Ovis aries: one gene and its partners. The main gene of each other region encodes a partner of the protein of the gene in region 3 in a complex. Links are inferred from orthologs where the notes say so. Each region holds a gene or a part of one and is shown on either strand. Other genes may lie near its edges. The genes, in order: MAPK10, MAPK8 and MAPK8IP1.

Region 1 (3,650 bases), on a different chromosome or scaffold from region 3:
ATTAAATAATATTATAGTAACATTCCCGGAACTGTCACAAATTGCATTAGCAGAAATGAATTAACTTTACACTAAAGATGGAGTTATAGAATTAGCAACATTGGAGACAACAGTGCCTATGGTATTGGATTTGAGAATTTCTAAGGCCTCTGTCTTTCATTGACACATGGCAAGGAAATCTATTTGAAATCAACTTCTTCCAGTTGGCTATTCAGAGTTTTCATGAGTGGTATTTATCGTTCCCAAGCTCTAACATATCAAATATCTATGAAAGATGAAAAAGAAAATCTCAATCAGTGGGTGTGCATGTCAAAGACCCCCAGTTTTGGAAGTATTAGTGTTCATAGAGAGGTAATGCTTTCCTTATAAAATTCCCCATGTTTAACATGCTTTTGAAACACAGGCATTTGGATGAAATCTGTCTTGAATTGAACATCCTATGTTTACCTTCATATTTCATTGAATATTACAATATTCAGGATATAAGGCACTATTATCAGAAGTAATAAAATGGGTATGAAACTGCAACTGCTTTGATAAACAGAATCTTTTAAGTCTTTGAAGAACAGTTAATAAGTTATTATCATACTGATTCTATTTGTAATGTGCATGAGTCGAAAAAATTAACAGACGAGGAAATTTCCCATTTTGTTGAGAACAAGAGGAAAAAAGAATCTTATAAAGAATTTAAGAAAAATACAGATGAATCTTATAAAACATTTATTCATCTGTCATTTTTAGAAAATAAATGGAATAATTTCATGATAATATAATTATATGTCATTATAATTTTTCTCTTCCACACTACATGGCTATATAGAAGTTTAACTCAATAAAAGAAATTCTTGCGTTATTTAAATACCTTTCCATTGACACAACCCAAAGACTCTTTCATGATATCATATTTTGTTAAGTAATGCTAATTCCTCAAAAGTGTATGTGTTCTCAAAGTGAATTTAAAATTCCAAGAGGATTCACTGCCTGACAATCTGATTTTATATGTTTGTCCGTTGTTGTTTTTTTAGAACTTCTTTTGTGTTATCGACTGTTCAGAGTTCTGAGAAGCAGTTAGTCTCCCAACTAGTGAAAGGCAAGAGCTGGTGTCCTGCACTTGTTTTTGCCCTTAACTATTCAATTCTCAGATATTGACCAGTGGAATAAGGTTATTGAGCAACTAGGAACACCATGTCCAGAGTTCATGAAGAAATTGCAACCCACCGTAAGAAACTATGTGGAGAATCGGCCCAAGTATGCAGGACTCACCTTCCCCAAGCTCTTTCCAGATTCCCTCTTCCCAGCGGACTCTGAGCACAATAAACTCAAAGGTAAGCCCTTCAGGGATAACTTCAGAACCACCGCGTGGGTGATGCAAACCATAGACACACTTCTCCCAATGCTGGGAAAATTGAGCGCAGGAAGAGAAGGAGGCGACAGGGGATGAGATGGTTGGATGGCATCACTGACTCAATAGACATGAGTTTGAGCAAACTTAGGGAGATAGTGAAGGATAGGAAAACCTGGCATGCTGCAATCCATGAGGTCGCAAAGAGTCGGACATAACTTAGCAACTGAACAACAACCTCAATTTAAGAAGAGGTATTTTTAAAAGATCCTCATTACAAAGGGAAAGTAATCAAGGATTTTAAAATTTTCTGGATATCTAGAGAGAAGACTAGTAATAAAGTGTGTGACAGTGGTATGGGTTAACTATTCACATATTTAGAATCTAAAATTACTTTGCAATGTTAATGCTAAAAGAACAACATTATATAGACATTGAAACAATTGTTCCAGTTATTTTTATATTCTGGAAAATATTTTCAACACAAGATTTTCATTGTAAAATCTTGAAACTATAGATGTTTGAGTTTTATTTGTATTTTACTAAATGCTTAGCCATCGTTTTTTATTTTAGAGTGACAAATGAGATTTTTACCTTCACATTTTGTTTTCAACATAAAGACTTTCATTAATAAGTAATTTTTTCTACTACTATGTCTGCCATTATGAACTTTAGTAATGAATCTTAATTTCTTACCCACAAAATGGAGATCATAATGGCTTCTTTATAGGATTCAAGACATAGAATAAATTTGGCAAGGTATAAAGTATAATGTAAGTAATATTTTAATTCTTATTCTAACTTATGACACTTCAGAAATTGGGGATATGAAGCAAATCTGATTTTTTTTCCTTTGCTGGGGGAAGGAATCCTATCCTTTAAAATCTGTGTGAACCTGGGCAAGTTATCTAATCTTTTTGTATCTTCTTTAACAAACTAAAGCAAGAAGTGTCTATCTTATAGGATCATTGGGAGGATTAATTGAATACTTGGCCAAGCACTTAAAACACTGCCTGTCTCACACTAAATGCTCAGTAACTGTTAGATATAAAAAATAATAAATCTTTATTAATAATAAAATGATTATTTCCAGGGGATCTATGTTGTTGTTTAGTTGTTATGTTGTCTGACTCTTTGTGACCCCATGGACTGTAGCACACCAGGCTCCTCTGTCCTCCTCTGTCTCCTGGAATTTGCTCAAATTCACATCCATTGAGTCAGTGATGCTATCTAACCATCTTATCCTCTGCTCATCTTATTCCTCATCTTATCTTTTCCTTTTGCCTTCAATCTTTCAGAGTATCAGGGTCTTTTCCAATGAGCTGGCTCTTCACATCAGGTGGTCAAAGTATTGGAACTTCAGCTTCCCCTGTGACCCCATGGACTTTACAGTCCATGGAATTTTCCAGGCCAGAATACTGGAGTGGGTAACCTTTCCCTTCTCCAGGGGATCTTCCCAACCTAGGTATCAAACCCAGGCCTCCTACATTGCAGGCGGATTCTTTACCATCTGAGCCACAGGGGAAGCCCAAGAATACTGGAGTGGGTAGCTTATCCCTTCTCCAGGGGATCTTCCTGACCCAGGAATCGAACCAGGATCTCCTGCATTGCAGGTGGATTCTTTACCAACTGAGCTATTAGGGAATCCCCCCACCCCGCCCCGCCCTGCAAAAGGACACACACTCGTGAAATTTTACTGCAAATTGTTCAGTGGACAATTAATTAGTTACAGATTAAATGTACAGACTTAATTTATAGTTAATATAGAATTAAATGAGGTGGAGAAACCAAAATATAGTGTTACAACTTCCCAGGGTCATATTATCTTCTCTAGACTTCCATCTTGTGGTTTTTAAATTAAGTACAGTGTTGTTTCTGTGTCTGTGACACTTTCGTTGCACAGTTGGGTTTCTCCCTTCAGCTACCTGTACCACTCTCTGAATTTTATAATTATTGAATTATAATTATAATGCAAAATCAGCAAATTATAAAGAATTACACAAATAATCAAAGGGAAGGATTTATTCTACTGTTGTTAAAGAGTGTAAGACATTTACTTGCAAACAAAAGAATGAAAGATGAAGAATTAAAATCTTTTCCTCTTCCTCATTTTGTTCCCTACAAGCAGTAGTGACCATTGTTTCTTAGTGAGATGATTTGGTGTTCCAGTGGTTCATTCTCCCATAGATGAGGAGACCACCGCAACCCCTACTCTTCCAAGAACAGAAATGTGGGTGACATGAGAACCCATGGAGTGTGTGAGTCTGGGTATAAAATCAGTTACAAATCAAAGAGGTCTTGAACTAAT
Region 2 (3,650 bases), on a different chromosome or scaffold from region 3:
TTCTTCCAAAGTGTTTAAGGTTGAAATCATATTCCTAGACTAGAATGCAGTACTACAATGAGCCATTAAATCATTAACCAACATGATAGACATTGAAATAGCATCAAAGCTCATAATATTTATTTTTGAACATGCAGTGTTTCTTTGCTGAGGTATTGCATTTTGGAAATCAGGACCACATATTTATAGGATAGCAATGATAAAAATGTTTATCCTCTGTTCCAGTAAGCCTGCTGATATTTATTTTTAATTTGATAAAACCAGTCGATGACATGACAAACCTAGACAGCATATTAAAAAAGCAGAGACACTGCTTTCGTGACAAAGGTCCATCTAGTCAAAGCTGTGGTTTTTCCTGTAGTCATGTACAGATGGGACAGTTGGTCCATAAAGAAGGCTGAGCCTTGGACTGCAGGGAGATTAGACCAGTCAGTCATAACGGAGATCAGCCCTGAATATTTATTGAAAGGACTGTTGCTGAAGCTGTAACTCCAATACTTTGGCCACCTGATGCGAAGAGCCAGCTCATTGGAAAAGACCTGGTGCTGGGGAAGATTGAAGGCAGAGGAGATGGGAGCGGCAGAGGATGAGATAGACAGCATCAGCAACTCAATGGACATCAGTTTGAGCCAACTCTGGGAGATAGTGGAGGACAGAGGAGCCTGGCGTGCCGTAGTCCATGGGGTTGCCAAGAGTCGGACGCAACTTAGCAGCTGACCAGCAGCAACAAACAGGTGGCACCTCTTCTGACGCCATCTGTGACTGCTTGTCAGCACAGGCTAAAGACAGTTACATGCTGCGCTGGATGTAGGCATGCAGGAGTGGTTAACCATCGTTTTTCAGGCCAGTGTTGTGTATTGTTAATCACTGATATTCAGTATGTGTGAATTATAGGCCTGCTCTTTTCGGTCTCTCCGTTCATGATAGGATTCGTGGTAGCTAAAAGGCCAGATGGGTTGAACGGGAAGCCTTGAGTATTTATGCCGCTGCCTTTTTATGATTGTAACATAGAATTCCTTGAGGTTGGGTTCACATGGGTAGCTCTTCACAGACGTTACTTAGTAGCATCAGCAGCAGGTGATTTTATGGATTAGTGGCACCAGGACAAGGCTGTCCTACCTCTGTGGGCAGTCAAAAATTGTATGAACAAATCTGTATGATTTTGGGTGAGAAATCAGTGATGGGAAAACTGGTAATGATTACTTTGGTCCTTCAGAGTTGAACATTTGCCTATTTGAAAAGTCAAATGACATGTGATTGGGTTGACATAGAATGGCCTATTGCTGATACAGAATATCTATATAAAGCTTACTGTGATTTTAAAATGAGAATTTTAAAAGCTAGTAATTTAGTATACAAGTGAATATAAATGCTAACTTATGATTCTCTCTTTATTTAACCATAAAAGTTCTTACATGAGCTTTGAGATGCCATTCCAAATCGCTTTTACACCCCTTGATTGAAAGTATCTAGCTAATCATATTTTCTAGCAAATAAAACATTACTAACTTCTAATAACTACTGTATGTATTTGTAAATTAAAAATGCCCTCAAGCTAGTTTCTCAAATCTGTCTGTTTATGATGAATCTGTGCAGTGGTAACAGTTACAGTTTGAGGAAAATGAACAATTAGCATGAACTGTTTTATGAGAGATCTCATTCATAACGTGTGGACTGCAAAGTATTTGTTTATATCATAGCAGTCATTTTTTGTATTTTTATTTTTGAAGGACTTAAAGCCCAGTAATATAGTAGTAAAATCAGACTGCACTTTGAAGATTCTTGACTTTGGACTGGCCAGGACTGCAGGAACTAGTTTTATGATGACACCTTACGTAGTGACTCGCTACTACAGAGCACCTGAGGTCATCCTAGGCATGGGCTACAAAGAAAACGGTCAGCAAACACTATTTACTTGAAATTCTGTTCAGATTTATTTGCTTTTGTTTATCAGATTTCTTATGTAAATACTTAAATTGAAATGCATAAAGAAAATTATCGCTGTTTGAAGTGTTTATCAAGAGTTTGGAAGTAACTACAAATTTTGTCATAAATGTTTGGAAAAACGTGGGGCCCCTGTTTATTTAAATACAAATACATAACCATCAGTACAACCGTTGGATAAAGAATTTGTTACCATGGCCCCTGTAAGAATACATGTCTAGAATACATAGCATTTTCTTGCCTGTAATGTGAAAATGAGCACTCTAACATGGGCACAGGGAGTATACAGTGGACCCGTCTCAGCACCCGCCATGTCTCTAGTGGTGATCTTGGTTCACATTAGTGGTATTTGCACACGTTTCCTGTCCTGTGACATTAAAGTTAGTAGCAGTAGCACTTAGTGCAGACTTTAAGAGCTACAATAAGGCTGTTCTGTAGAGCTGATGGATAATTAATTTAAGGTGACCTTTCAGAGGAAATGGTGTTTCATCAAAGCCCTTGTGTCCAGCCTTAAAGAAATGGCGTTATGTGCGAATATAGCCAGTTACATAAATTATCACTAGAATTAGGTTGAAGAAAATGCTCAGGCATGTAGTTCATGAATTTTAAAAAAATGTTATACATACACATATTTATACCTAAGAAAGGTATAAATTTGCTGAATCTCAGTCATTTGGAAGATGGATAAGTCTACACATGATTTTATTGACTTTAACTTTTAAAATGAGATAATTAAAAATACTTCATAAAGTAGGACCTAGACATTTTTCCTAGCAAAAGACTCTGAAACAGCAGTTCACTCTGAATCAGGAAACTGTATCAAATCAGTTTTGAGGATTCTTTTTTTCTAAAAAAGATAACTTTGAAGTAAGGATTTTAGCTTAATATTCTTATCTGAGCCAGTTAAAAACACTTTAAACATTTATTATCAGTATTATTCTTTTGTTCTTAAATAAACACGCTGTTCTGTTGTCTTACTCTTGACCTAAAATTGTCTTATACCCTGTAAAATCCAGTGAGTTAGATTTAGTATTATACTTTTTTTTTTTTTTGGAGAATTGCTATTTTAAGTGACAGCATGATCATTGTTTTTTAAAGTATTTGCTGTAAAACCACTGATTGTCATAAATAATGTGCAGTGTGTCACTTTGTCTTGGAATTGTGATCTTAGGCGCTCCCTAGTAGAAATTAGCACCAAGAAAAACTATCATGCAAAGAGTTGACATACTTTCCTTTCTTAGATAAGAATTCTATAGACTCACTTTATTGTGTTCCTTCAGTCTCCAGGAAACTGAGTCAAATATAGTGCTTAATGTTGGTAACTACATCGGCCAGCAAGGTTAAGCATAAGAACTTCCACCTTTTAGTGACGCCTCTCACCCATCCTACACCTGTTTTAATGACTTGTTTTATATATATGTCTTTTATTGCAAGCTACCCTCAAAGCTTTTTGGAAAGTGAGATAATGGGATATATTTAAACTGCCAAATAGCCTGAGCAGTTAGACCTGTAGAGCTCTTTTTATGTTTGAATCAGGCTTTTCATATTCTGAGGACAGTCTTCATTTGCCCAGACAGTGCTTGCAATAGCCTCTCATGCTTGTAGCTTTAGAAATGTTTTAAAATATGTTTTTCTCAAGATTATGTACATAAATTATGTCCTAGATATCTAACTAAAGCTTGCTATTCTCTATAAAATCCACAAGG
Region 3 (3,750 bases):
CACTGCACACCTACTCTGTGCCGGGCTTCAGGCAAACCAAAGTTTAGGTATTGACGTCTTGTGCCTTCTGGAAGTGGACAGTGGTGCTGGGTCACACGCACACACGCACGCATGCACATACACGTGCACACACACACACACAATAATACCCACAGGAATAGCCCGACATGAATACAGCTCTTCACAGCCCTTGAAACACTCAACATGTATTGTTTCATCCAAGTATTAGGGCCGCCCTGAGCAAGGGCCAAAGTAGGCATCATGGAGAAAAAACCAGCCCAAGGCATTCGGCACCCACTCTGAGCATGCGGCTAAAGGGACGGAGCCAGGATTCAAAGCCAGGCCAGAGCCACAGGGGCGCAGTCCCACCCGGGCTCCATCAGCCGAGCTCAGAACTGTGAGAGGCGGCCAGGGAAAGGGCAGCGGGGGCTGCTGGAGCCGGCAGGGCAGGCCTCGGGGCCAGAGACACTGGCCTTACTGTTCACATCTCCACAGCCAGGCCATGGTGTCCCGGAGGGCCAACCCACACTCAGCCTTGGCACAGTGCCACCCTGGCCCACCGGGCCCAGGGCTGGGCACACTCACTGGCGGGCCCTCCTTATCAGTCGCTGTCCCTCAGGAGTCCAGGATAACCTGCCCGCCGGGGGCAGCAGGGACGGAAAGCCCTCTCACCTGCGGAGGGGAAAGCAGGTGGGGAGGCCAAGCTGTCCTCCGGGTCAGGCTGGGCCTGAAGGTAGAGTGGACTGAACACGCAGCCTCAGGCCCTGACTCCCCTCGGGGAAGCCACCCGCCTTCCTGAACCTCAGTCTTCTCATCTACAAAATGGGCAGGCCCATCCTGACGCCCAGAGTGGTGGGGAGGGAGACCTCAGCCAGCCCCGGGAACATGCCCCGAGCAGGAATGAGCCGCCTCAGCGCCCGCCGGTGTGGAGGGTGATGCTTGTTGAGTGCCAGCGTGATGCACCTGAAGGAATCAATATGAATTAGCTCATCAACAGATGAGACTGAGGAAAGCCCAAAGAGCTGCCCAGGTCAGGCAGCTAGAAAGTTGGTGGAGCCAGGATTCGCATCCACGTCTGTCTCAGGGCTGTGCTCAGCCACCACAGAGGGGCCTCCTGGAAGGAGGGCAGCGCTGGTGGGAAGGCAGCGCAGTTCACCTCCGGTGGAGTGAGTCTCAGACCTCGGCCTCCTTACTCTGAGGCTCGAACCACAAAGCCCCCAGCCCTGGAGCCCGGCCTTCTCCATCTGGTCTTTGGCAGCTCAGCTCCGGGCCTTCTGGGAGATTTCCAGTCCTAAAGATGATGCCGTTAGCGATCCCTGGAGGCCCCTGCCCACCTGAGGGCCGGGGAGCCAGAAACCCCTTGGTCAAGAAGAGGGGCTGGCGCCAGAGCCCAGCTGGGGCCCGGCGCGGGTGCAGGCCCCAGGAGAGGGGCAGACACCAGCTCATTACATGGAGGAACAATGGGGAATGGAGGCCTCTTTCTGGGGGCTCGGGAGCGGTAACCCCTCCTCCTCTTCCTCTCCAACCCGCCAGGATGAGGACGGAGGGACGTCCATCCCAACCCCCACAACACCCACTGCCACCTCTCTGAAATCCACCTCCCAGTTGCCTAAGGCCAGACTAGGGGCATGGAGAGAGCTGAAGCAGGAGCTCAGATCAGGATCCAGGGTACTCACCCCAGCAGGAACCACCCCACCAATAACCGTGGCTACTCCCGCGGGCTCCAACCCAGACTCCCCCTCCCACAGCCGGGCCTCGATCTCGCGGGTTGAGGCTGAGCCTTCGTTCGGCACCTACACGCATCTGACCAGGTCAGTGCTTGTCCCAATGCACAGAAGGTCCTGGCCACGCCAGGCCTGGGAGTTGGGCCCCTCTGGCCAGGCAGGGCTGGGGGAGGGGCCTGCGACTCTCTCTAGCACCAAGGCTGTCGGTCGCCCCAAGAAACTGGGACCCGAGGGGCACCCCAACCTAGTGTCATCCTCTATTCAGGAGCCTTCCGACTGTGCGCAGGCAAAGCCCCAGGCTTCCTGCCTCCTGCGGGACCTCAACGCGGACCCCAGACCCCGCCGCAGCTCCAAAGTCGGAGAGAAGGCGGCCTCCGCGCCCCCTCCTCCAGTTCCAGCTCAGGATCTCCTCGCCTCGGACACGGAATGGCGGAGAGAGCCGCACCGCGGATATGCATCGGCCATGAGTCTAGACTTGAGGCTGACGAGGATTCGGGAAGAGACCCCATCCCCACGCCGCCCTCTCGTTCTGCGGTTTCCCATGAGTGCGTGTTGCGAGGCGGGTGCGGGGTGGGGGGAGCCCGGGCAGATCGATTTAGGTTGAAGGGTGGGGCGCGGCGGCCGGAGAGCCTCACCTGAAATTGGGCGGCGACGCGATGTGCAGCCCCAGGAACGGGGAGGCGGCAGGCGGGGACGCAGCCCCCCCGCCCAGGCCGCCGCTCTCTCGCTCCGCCATTCTCCCGCACAGCCCTGGCCATCCGGGCGGAGCGCGGCGCGGAGGCGGCGGCGGCGGCGGCGGCGGGGAAGGAGGCGCGGGCGCGGCGAGAGGCCGCCGCCGCGGGGATCGGCTGGGGACTGCGCGGCGGGCGCACCTGCGCAGGGCAGGGCGCGGCTCCAGACCGCGCGCCGCTCTCGGGACTGGCGCGAGCGCCTCCGAGCGCGCTCCCGGGTCCTCGGCCAGGCTTGGGTATGCCCCGCCCCGCCCCGCCCCTTACCCGGGAGCCCCGCCCCTGCTGCGCTCTCCAAGGTGCTGAAGTCGCAGCCCCGCGGTCCCCGAGTTTGGCTCCGCCCCGCCCTCAATCCCACGCAGTAATAACAGCCTCCCCTTCCGCAAAGCCCTCTGTGTCCCTGCGGGCTCTCTTCCTGGGGTGGGCCTAGCGTCCGGGTATGCAGTAACTAATGGCGGGATCTTGGTCCCTGGGACCCGAGTTGACCCCCTCGCTGCAGACAAAGAAGGCAGTCAGGAAAGGAGAGTCGTGGAGGAAGGCAGAGAAACACTAGCGGGTGTTGGATGCTGGCTCCTAGGACCGACAGATTTTTGGAGTGAGGTAGGGTGAAGTCACAGCCCGGCTCTCCTAGTAGAATAGGTGGTGTGACTTCACATTAGTTACAACAGTCCTAAGGCTTGATTTTTTTCTCATCTGTGAAATGGGGATGATAATGGTCCATCTCATGGTCGTGAGGATGAAATATAATACAAATGTTGGCACTGGAGGCTGGGAACACCCCACCTCCAGCTGGGAACCAGGGCTCACCCCTTGAGGGGACTCCCCCCCCCCACTCCACCCAAGGACTCTGCCGAGGGTCTCCTCTCTAAAGAGTGATTTAAGCCCCTTTCAGCCCCAAACACTTCTAATGGTGAATTGAGCCTTTCCTTTTGGCTTCTCTCAGCTTCTCCTCCCTCATGTCAGGACTTTGACGTCACCTTCTCCTCACTTAGCACCTCAATTGTATTTCCTGCAGAGCACCCCCTTTTGCACTCAGACACCCCATAGCAGGCTTCTCACATTCTAAGACTTGGGGCCTTTCCTCCTGCCCCTACAGTTGACTTCTAGGGATTCTTTTGATGGTTTTTCGGCTCCCTCCAGTGCCTCTGCCCTGCAACTCCGGGTCATGGTTCCTCCTGGACTTCTCTCCCCTAAGAGGATTAAGCCTGTGTGTTCTCTCACAGCACATGGACTTCTGGGCACTCAGGCTGCTGGGCACAGCAAGGTCCCCAGCTCTGGTGGGTCATAGAGCCTCTGCC

What was found.
Region 1: the proteins of MAPK8IP1 (region 3) and MAPK10 are in contact, whole or in part, in a crystal structure (PDB 3PTG), measured with the Homo sapiens proteins. The link is inferred for Ovis aries from reciprocal best matches to the Homo sapiens genes MAPK8IP1 and MAPK10. Residues at the interface, in NP_005447.1 of Homo sapiens: Pro158, Lys159, Arg160, Pro161, Thr162, Thr163, Leu164, Asn165, Leu166; in NP_620448.1 of Homo sapiens: Asp150, Ala151, Gln155, Val156, Met159, Leu161, Glu164, Arg165, Tyr168, Leu169, Tyr171, Val197, Lys198, Ser199, Asp200, Cys201, Trp362, Asp364, Glu367.
Region 2: the proteins of MAPK8IP1 (region 3) and MAPK8 are in contact, whole or in part, in a crystal structure (PDB 3VUM), measured with the Homo sapiens proteins. The link is inferred for Ovis aries from reciprocal best matches to the Homo sapiens genes MAPK8IP1 and MAPK8. Residues at the interface, in NP_005447.1 of Homo sapiens: Arg157, Pro158, Lys159, Arg160, Pro161, Thr162, Thr163, Leu164, Asn165, Leu166; in NP_001310257.1 of Homo sapiens: Lys83, Asp112, Ala113, Gln117, Val118, Met121, Leu123, Glu126, Arg127, Tyr130, Tyr133, Val159, Lys160, Ser161, Asp162, His286, Val323, Trp324, Asp326, Glu329.

What each region holds. Positions count from the first base shown.
Region 1 is NC_056059.1:101,634,231-101,637,880, reverse strand, and holds part of MAPK10 (mitogen-activated protein kinase 10), read left to right. Parts: intron 1-1,142; coding exon 1,143-1,325; intron 1,326-3,650. UniProt on the Homo sapiens protein: Serine/threonine-protein kinase involved in various processes such as neuronal proliferation, differentiation, migration and programmed cell death.
Region 2 is NC_056078.1:41,775,372-41,779,021, forward strand, and holds part of MAPK8 (mitogen-activated protein kinase 8), read left to right. Parts: intron 1-1,730; coding exon 1,731-1,896; intron 1,897-3,650. UniProt on the Homo sapiens protein: Serine/threonine-protein kinase involved in various processes such as cell proliferation, differentiation, migration, transformation and programmed cell death.
Region 3 is NC_056068.1:74,845,642-74,849,391, reverse strand, and holds the start of MAPK8IP1 (C-Jun-amino-terminal kinase-interacting protein 1), read right to left. Parts: upstream 2,582-3,750; 5' UTR 2,461-2,581; coding exon 2,360-2,460; intron 1-2,359. UniProt on the Homo sapiens protein: The JNK-interacting protein (JIP) group of scaffold proteins selectively mediates JNK signaling by aggregating specific components of the MAPK cascade to form a functional JNK signaling module. Required for JNK activation in response to excitotoxic stress.